Kluyveromyces lactis: one gene and its partners. The protein of the gene in region 2 interacts with the protein of the main gene of each other region in a pairwise test. Links are inferred from orthologs where the notes say so. Each region holds a gene or a part of one and is shown on either strand. Other genes may lie near its edges.

What was found.
Region 1: the proteins of MEC3 (region 2) and SET1 interact in binary tests that used the Saccharomyces cerevisiae proteins (3 or more experiments, as listed by UniProt). The link is inferred for Kluyveromyces lactis from reciprocal best matches to the Saccharomyces cerevisiae genes MEC3 and SET1.
Region 3: the proteins of MEC3 (region 2) and ATG16 interact in a two-hybrid assay, tested with the Saccharomyces cerevisiae proteins (2 studies listed by BioGRID). The link is inferred for Kluyveromyces lactis from reciprocal best matches to the Saccharomyces cerevisiae genes MEC3 and ATG16.

Annotation. Positions count from the first base shown.
Region 1 is NC_006042.1:2,246,958-2,251,118, reverse strand, and holds the start of SET1 (histone methyltransferase SET1), read right to left. Parts: upstream 2,859-4,161; coding exon 1-2,858. Other genes in the region: ORC6 (origin recognition complex subunit 6), read left to right, coding at 3,203-4,161. UniProt on the Saccharomyces cerevisiae protein: Catalytic component of the COMPASS (Set1C) complex that specifically mono-, di- and trimethylates histone H3 to form H3K4me1/2/3.
Region 2 is NC_006039.1:440,188-443,174, reverse strand, and holds MEC3 (Mec3p), read left to right. Parts: upstream 1-1,244; coding exon 1,245-2,405; downstream 2,406-2,987. Other genes in the region: GTPase GUF1, read right to left, coding at 1-1,008; SER1 (O-phospho-L-serine:2-oxoglutarate transaminase), read right to left, coding at 2,412-2,987. UniProt on the Saccharomyces cerevisiae protein: Component of the checkpoint clamp complex involved in the surveillance mechanism that allows the DNA repair pathways to act to restore the integrity of the DNA prior to DNA synthesis or separation of the replicated chromosomes.
Region 3 is NC_006041.1:145,630-147,928, reverse strand, and holds ATG16 (Atg16p), read left to right. Parts: upstream 1-1,279; coding exon 1,280-1,660; downstream 1,661-2,299. Other genes in the region: CVM1 (Cvm1p), read right to left, coding at 1-974; guanine nucleotide exchange factor GET3, read right to left, coding at 2,113-2,299. UniProt on the Saccharomyces cerevisiae protein: Stabilizes the ATG5-ATG12 conjugate and mediates the formation of the 350 kDa complex, which is necessary for autophagy.

The DNA of each region.
Region 1 (4,161 bases), on a different chromosome or scaffold from region 2:
CGGCCATCGACTTTGATGATTTTTGCCGTACAACTAGGTTCACAACAGTGATTAATAAACCTAGCGATACCACCCCTCTTTGTAGCATCTATAACTGTATTTTCATCAATTCTGAATAAATAACTTGAACCAATTCCAGACTTGATATATCTCTTCTCTCTCATTTCAGCGACCGGTTGTCTAATTGATTCGCCAACATACTCAATAATCATTTCCTTGGCTGCTATAGGTTCCAATGCATATAGGCCCCAATTGTGAATTGCAGATCTTGCAAAAGTGACGGGTTTCTTTCTTTTCGTTAATTGGTTTAATGATAATAGGTCAGATTCAAAGCCAATTGCAGCTCTTTGCGCTTCTATATCTTGCTGGAAACGTCTTTGGAAAACTCTGTTCAAACGTGAGGATGCATTATGGTTATCTTGCTCTAAGTCAGCCTCTTGATTTGTTGATTCTGTTCCATTCAAAGCCATGAAATTCTGTTCTTGATGATTATGAACAGTGTTCAAAGGTTGCGCCAACCTCCGATGATGAAGAAGGTATGAAGATTTCAGTTTATCAGGAATTTTCTTAAAGCCATCAGCAATAAAACTACCAGTCGTTGAAGCTAACGTTGAATCAAATTCTTTTTCATTCAAAGCTATTTGGTTATCCCGAATAATTCCATTTTGTTCAATCTGTTGGTATAACTTCCACATTGAGTACGGCAAAAATGGTGTATAATCAGTAGTAATATCTTTTGATTTTTCTGAGACAATGCCCTTGAGAATAGAGAAATCTTCTTCGTCTTTCAAAGCAAGCTGGAACTTATCGAGAGAAAGCTGCTTGGATTTATTCAAGTCAAAGTCATCATAAGGATATACTGGGGTTGGGAATTCTGATGCAATAGGTTTGTATTTCCCTTCATACTGTAGTAATTCCTTGGACCTTTCATCAGGTAAAGATGCAGCGCTTTCGGGCAGGTCTTCCTCCGGTGTTGTTATCACGGAAGACTGTTTCTTCGACTCATCTGAAATAATATCTTCCGATTCATATCCAGATGACTCCGGAGAGTTTTCACCGTTTGAGCCAACATTGAGTGAATCCACTGTATCTTCTCTGGTAGAAATTTCATCATTTAACAAATGCGACATATGTTCCACCTTAGGTTTCTTTTTACGTTGATGATCAGGAGATTCTTCAGTGTATAAATGACGTTTGCCTAGATCAGCTTTCCTATCTCTTTTCAGCTTTTTTGTTTTAGACGCAGGTCCGTATAGACTGAAAATATCAAATTCTGCGGGTTTGGCCTTTATCGTTGTCTTCTTTTGTGATTCCTCACGCTTCTTCTTCTCATCGTCCAGTTTCTTCTGCCTTTCTACAACTTCCGGGTAGTTAGCAGGATTTAGCGTATCAAATATAATTGGACCTACAAGCCTTCTCAAGATATCACGCTTAATGATATTATGCAAATCTTTGAGAATTTGTTTTGTGGAGGCTTCTAATAGCTCTTCCGTGCTTGAGTACTCTATCTTTCGAGGTTTATTGATATCTCTTTGGTTAGTGATATTTGATTGAAGTCTCCTCTTTGGTTCAATGAAAGTAAATTCTATTTGTATGGGAGAGTGAGTCCTATGCGAATTTATGACCAAGGCACCTGATTCGTACTCTAAACATGCTTTTGCATTTTCCAGATCATGAAAAACAATATATACGCCAGTGTAGTGATCAATAATTTTGGCCCAATTGTACTTACGAAGTTGATATCTGAAATCTGCTGCATTGAACCTATGATAAAACGTAATCTTTGCAGGAACAAACAAAACTGGTCTGTTGTTCACAACTTGAGTTAAATCGTATGGCACTCCTCTTATTACTTGAGGTTTCTGCCCGGATGATTTCTCTGCAATGGCCCGTTTCGCTTTATTCACTTCTGTCACTCTGGCTGCGTTCTGTTTGATTAGTTTGTCCTTTATTGAATTTAACACTGTATTTTGGTTTAAAATGACATTGAACTTGATACCTGATACTGTGTAAGGTGCGTCTTTGAATTTCTCTGATGCCTTATAAGCAGCTTTATATGGAGCATCAGGTTGAGAAACTGGACCAGTGAATTTTATTAGATAGACGTACAATGGCAATGCACTATTTGGATCCATGAACTGTTCAAAATGCGCTATTTCACCAAATGATTTAAAGTAGTTTTTGATTATTGCTTCAGATAATGCGGCTGCTATTGGTTGTTGGTTAGATGCAGAAGGGTATACTATGATTTCTTTTGGAGGTTCAGGACCAATGTAGAAAGAATCATACGGAATTCGCGAGTTGCGTACCAATGCACTTCTAAGCTTTCTATATCTCTTTTTCGCAGAAATGGACCCAGAGACCGCATCCCCATTCATAGGACGTATTCTCGGATCCACCGAAGTTTGTTCAGGCTGCCTGGCCATGAGTATTGGTTTTTGCTTATCCGATGCAATCAACTCCGTTGTTGTCACATATCCATGCTCAGGAATCTTCTCAGATTTCCATTTCTTGAAGCTGGATTCATTTCGTAGTCGTTTACTTACAATGTCGTAATAATGATATTTTGTATTAAACTCATCGCGATCGTATTTCGCACTCACTACTGGACGCGTTGCGAAGGGATTACGAGGAATCTCGCTGATACCACGCGACTGCGACCGTATTGGACGAGATTCGTTCTCATTATTCCTAAGTTGAGACCCAAACCCCTCGCGGGAGTATCTTCGGTTCCCTGATCCATTCCGTTGGAAGCCCTTGTACCTATTCCCATTTTCTTGATATGCATATCGTCCGGTTTGGTACCGATCATTATTCCCATGAAAATGAGAGTACTGTCTATTATAGTACCCACTCATGAGAACTAAAATATACACACACGCTGGAATAGCAACTTATGCTAGATGAAATACTAGAAGTATTGCCAAAACTGAACTTATAGATGGAGAAGCGAATAATGATACTTTTGATTAATATTCAATTTCATTATTTACCATATTTTGTTTCAATATTGGAGAAAATCGAGAAAATCAGAAAAAGATCAAAAAGCTACATAAAGACTGTTTTTAATATTATGTTAAAAATGGTCCATGGAGATGAGATGAGATATATGTCTTTTCCGGGCCAGTGTAATACAACAAGTGAGTAGATGATCCTATTTTAGTCACTTTAGAGTGCTAAGAATCCGTGGAAATAATTTAAGATGTCTACGCAGCAAGTACGAACGTGTGTAACCGATTTATTAGGGGTCAAAAATGATTCTAATGTTGACTGGCAAGACCAACGGTTAAAGAAAGTGGCTTCTACTACAGCAACATTATACAACGTTTCAGTATCGAAAGTGATGCTGAAGAATTCAGAGGAACTTGCTCGGTGCCATATATGTGCACTGATTGCGTTTCAGAAACTAGCTGAGAAGTATGACAATGACCTACCATATTCTCAGGAGAAGATCCCGCTTCCACCAGACCAAGTATCCAAACTTGTGAATATATTTAAGAGAAACATATGGCCTCATTCGCCGCAAAAGGATACCGAAGGACAATTGCTGAAGTTTGATGATACTGCATCACCATCGGTTAGAAAGTCAGCGGTTAAAAATGCAAGATTCACAGGGATAGATCCGAAGTCGTTACAAGAACAGCTATTCCAGACTCCGTCGAAATCAAGAACTAAAAGTGGTATCCAGCCCTTGAAGAATGTTGATCTTTCACCTAGCAAAGGGAGTAGGTCAAGTGTCCGGAGGAAATTAGTGTTTGAAGCTGATACAGAAAATGGCCTTCCGTTGCCCATATTAGCAACCCCGAAGAATAAGACTGATATGATCAATATACCACAAGTGTTTGGATCAGTTGAGGATGATCCTGAATCTCCATTAAGACAGTCACCCTTTCGTGACTCCCCTTCTAAATACACGCCTTCACCAAGAAAGAAAAGAGGTAAGTATAACGAATGGAACATGCTATACAAAAAATACTATAGACCGTCTACCGCTGAACTGGTGACTCTGTGCAATGAATTTGAACTTCCTGAAGAAGTAACAGCTACCATAATTTCCGAATTCAATAACAACGCTACTTACCTAGCGTATCCTACACAGTTGGTTTGTGGTCTGGTACTTCTTTGCTCGTTCGTTGTCTTCAACCAACAGAGAAATCAGGA
Region 2 (2,987 bases):
GGCCCCATCAGCAGGGAAAGCTCCTACGAAGACCATGGGTTTTGGTTCTTCAAATCCTGGTAACACTTCAGTAATCGATTCTTTACCGAGATGCATCAAAGTATCACCAATCTTGGCATCCTTAGATTCTTTCATGCCAGGTACCAAATACCCGACTTGACCTGATTTCAGTGTGTTAGTAGCGACACGATCTGGGTACATTATACCGCATTCCCTCACTTCATACTTCAATCCATTTGCGGCAGTGATGATTTTATCTCCTCTTTTCACTTGACCATCAACTATATGTACAAGAAGCACCACTCCTAAATAAGAGTCATACCACGAATCCACCAATAATGCACGTAATGGTTTCTCAACTTTACCGGTCGGAGGAGGTATTCTATCAACAATAGCGGGTAACAATTGCTCGACGTGCAATCCAGTTTTAGCACTAACTTTGATACAATCTGACTTAGGTAGCTCGAACATATTTTCAACCTGTTCTTCTGCTTGGTCAATGTCAGCAATGTCCAAGTCAATCTTGTTTATGACAGGAATAAGTTTCAAATCCATACTATAAGCGAGGTAAAAGTTTGCGACTGTCTGTGCTTGAACACCTTGGGAAGCGTCAACGAGTAACAAAGCGCCACCACACGATGCATACGATCTTGAAACTTCAGCACGAAAATCCACATGGCCCGGTGTATCCACTAAATGTAAGAGATAGTCCAATTTCGTTCTAGGATCCTGGTAAAACATGGAGCATGTCTGTGCTTTGATTGTAATCCCTCGCTCTCTTTCCACCTCAAGCTTATCTAAAACTTGCTTACCACCTGGCTTAATCACGTTAGTGAGCTCTAAGAGTCTGTCACTGAGTGTAGATTTACCATGATCAACATGAGCCACTATAGAAAAGTTACGATATCTTTCAATTGGAATGGCATCGATCCTCTCTTGTAATGAATGATTACTTCTAACTTGTTGAAAGGCATACCTCACATGTCGAAGCAACCTCCTATTGAACATAATTATCGGGTCTGAAATTTAGAACTCGTAGCTCTATAAGCCTTTCTCTTTCGTCTATCGTTTAACGTCTAGAATTTATGTTTATAGATCTTCCAGTCATTAAACATTGTTGGCAACGAATTGTTTAAATTTGATGTTTATGGCCGTTCAGATCTAAAGTTCAACTTTAACTCATACATACAAAGGGAATAACAAAAAAACGTGATAGCAAGCTAATCCTCGGGACGAATTTTGCAATGAAACTAAAACTAAGTATTCAAGCAGGTACTGAGGACTACTCATTGTTCAGGACAACGTTGATAACGGTGTCCAAACTACGAAAAACATGTATTTTAAGATTTACCTCTTCTAGGCTGGTCATTATATCAACACCAAACAGTACAGGAACGGTCATAGATCAGGGTCAAGTTTGGTGCACAGTCCCACACGATGTGTTTGACACATATGTAGTTAATTCAATTCGAGAAGATAATAGAGTCGCCATGGAGTGCCCCTGTGATACTATTGTCGGCGTGCTGCGGAAATTCGATAAATGCAACGCAACTCAATTGACCATCAAATTGGTAAGATTGGTAACTGTTGACAAGGAAAGTGAAGCAGCTGCAGCTGCTCACAATACAGACAATACACTCTGCGGATTAAGCTTTTCATTTCAAGATACACGAGATGAAAGGACGATACAGCATAATATTAAGGTCGGCGTCAAATTACTGTACAATGCTCAAGACGAGAAGATAGTAGAACCAACAGTTAATTATGTGGGGATTTTGATGTTACAACTTCCGAGTCACGTAAGTGAATGGGGTCCAGGTTTTAATGCGTTTTTTAAGCGAATAGAACGATACGGAAATGTCAATACACTCAAGATACATGGCGAACAATTGGGCGAAAAGGGTTCACTGAAGGTAATTGTTGATGAATTTGACTGGAAACTTAACATCGCATGGAAAGGCCCGTTAGATGCAATGCTCAATGATATGGAAGGTGATGATTCACACTCTGATCCAAGAGATGATACGCTTCGACACAACGGTGAGACAAATGCAGAGTCATCCCCATCACCGGTAGCATGCAATGAAATGCATATTGAGGACAGTGATGTCTTGGACACTGGTATACACGGAAAATCCATTGATCGACATTCAACAATGCTAGAAAACGCTTCTGCTAGGCAATCACAAGACAAGTTGAAAGGTCACGAGGTTATAGTAAGGGTTCGTGATTGGAAAGTTTGTTCTAAACTTTATGAATCATTTGAAGAAGTCGTTCTAGTGATATCACACGATGACTCTTGTGTTTTCCATTGCTCTTTGGAAAGAGGCATTGACAGAGATGAAAACAATAAGGAGAAGGGTCAAATTATTTATTACATAAGTAAATGTAAATCGTTAAACTGATCACGATCATTGATTGTTCTCTGCAAACTTGGTGACAAAATCGACTAACAGCTTAACACTAGACAATTCAACAGCATTGTACAAAGATGCTCTGAACCCACCTACTGATCTGTGACCCTTGAGCCCAGTTAGATTTAGCTTAGTAGCTTCTTCCAAAAATTTAGAATCCAAACCGTCCTTCTTAATGGTGAAGACTACATTCATTTTTGATCTGTATTTTTTGTCTACTGGCAGATTGTAGAACTCTGGGAATTTGTCTAGAGCTTCATACAAGATCTTAGCTTTTTCCTCGTTTTCTTTTTGTTGGCTCTCAATTCCCCCTTGTTCCAATAGGCGTTGTAAAACTAAGTCAATGATATGTAAGGTGAAGATAGGAATGGTGTTATAAGCAGAGTCATTTTTCACTACAGTTGGATAATCAGTGGCAATTGGTGAGACTGGTAGAGAAGCATCCCTCAATTGCTTTGGAGAAACTTTTGCAATGTCATCCAGTATGTCTTTTTTAATGATGTACAAGGTCAACCCTGCTAACCCAATGTTTTTCTGAGCACCCGCCATAATCAAGGAATAATCAGCGACATT
Region 3 (2,299 bases), on a different chromosome or scaffold from region 2:
CAAAATTGATATCCTTGTAAACAAGATTCAAAACCAAGAATCCCAATAGACTTTAATTTGGTAATCGTGAAATTATCGAGTATTGCGTCTGTCAACAGAATTGATAGAGGAACGCTATGGTAGGTCCCAATAACAAATATTCGAGTTGCATCCTGGAATAGATGCATCCAATTTTTAAGTAGTGATATGGTTTCTTGCAAAACCATTGGAGTTGGTTTGACATCAAGCGGGCATTCGAACGAAAAGGTGAGCGCTCTATGAGGATCAAAGTTTAGTAGCTTCTTGAGCATTTGATCGTTAAGCTCCAGTGCTGTTGGAAGCTTTCCGGTCGAAACACGTTCATACTTTTCGGGCAAAGATCCGTGTAATGATATGACTATTATGGTGTCTTCATTGAAATTAAGAGTGGAATGCTGTTTTAAGTAAAGATGTTTCTCACTGATAAAATTGTAATGGTTTTTTATGGCATGGGCTAATTTCGTTTTAAGTGGCAGTTCATGCATGTACTCAGTTGGAGAAACACCTGGTATGATAGTTGAATTTTTGGCATTTATGATAGTAGATTTTCGCTGTGGTAATAATGGATATTTGGACAATGGCAAGGGACAAGTCGCGCTGCCAGTGTTGTAAACGGATAAAACCCCATCAGAATCGAGTAATTTATTATTCAAAGTTTCATTAAACCAGCAACATGTATCATGTCCTTTAAGTATTCCTTGCTCTGCTTCATTTTCCAATATTTTAATTTGTTTTTTGGTAAGCTGATGGTATGATGTACTGTCGCTGATTTCTAAACTTTCTTGATTGGAGAACCAAGCTGGTATATACCTTTTCAGCCATCCTTCGTCCTGGTGTTCAGAAGACGAATTAGTAGGAGTATCTTGACTGTTTTCTTCTGAAGCATTAGTTCCTGGGATCCATCTTCTCCAAAATGGATTATTATCTTCTCCCGTTGAATTGATGGGTTCGGACATGCGAGATGGTTCACTAATCTAATGTGCTGATGTACAGTACTAGTTGATCATGTGGAAGGAGGTTCACCTCGAACTAATATAGACTATGGTAATATCTTGTCAAAATAAGGCCAAACGATTATTGAAGGAGGATTTTTATTCTTCGCTTATTTGGTTTTGTTGTGATTACAAGGCTTCCCTTTATTTTGTTGTTTTAGATTTTAGAGAATCAATCATAAATAGGAAAAATGTGAAGCTTCATGCAAGTGCTTGAGATGGAATTAAAAGAACGTAACATGTCACGCAGATCTTAGTGAGCTTGTGACATGGAACTGCCGTTGCTAGATAAATTGAAAGTTAGGGATTTGGTTGATAAGAGATTTTCGCATCTTTTCGAAACGGTCTCACTTCTGTCTGGAGATAATGAGGAAGATAACGAAGACCAACTACGACTTAAAAACAGCATAAAGAATCTAAGGGAACATCTTACGGAAAAGGAAGAGGAAATAAGGCAACTACATGATGTTATTAGTGTAAAAAATCGAGATGCTGAGCGTTTGAATGACGAATTGATCAGCATCAACATAGAAAACAATCTTTTACAGGAAAGGTTGACACACATTCAAGCAGAATATGACACCTTGATTGAACGATGGTTACTAAAAGCACAAAGAGAGGCCGATATCATGAATACGAGACTTAAATAGATATGACATACTCTATATGCCTCAAGTTATAAATGAGTTGCGAGTTTTATAAGTGATTTGAAGTTAATTCCCTGCGACTCAATGGTACATCAAATCCCAAGTGCATGAAACTCTTTAAAAATTCAGTTTTCCAAGAAATTTGCTTCAGTAGCTCAGTCGGAAGAGCGTCAGTCTCATAATCTGAAGGTCGAGAGTTCGAACCTCCCCTGGAGCATTTCAATTTACCAAAATTTTTTTAGCTTTCGGATCTTTTCGTTTACTATCACGAAGCCTGAAGTAATAATGTTTTCATGTTGCAACTAAAGTAGATGTTTAATGCTACATTATAGAGGCTAATTCGATGCAATGATTCAATTTAGAATCTGCTCTGCAATTATTTAGTGTACAAATAATAAAAAATTATAGATTGGCCGTGTAATGCTAGGTATCAATGATTCATATTTATCTTCCTTTCAGTCTTGTTGTTCCAATTCATAAATCACTTTGCTGTCTGCAACTGGATCGTATGGTTTTCTCAAGAATTGGGAGAATTTTTTCAAGTTGTTTAAACCTCTAATTTCACCTGCACACAATGGCATCTTAACGATATGGAAATCTTCGTACAATTCATCAATTTGGTCCAAATACTTCTTTTGCATC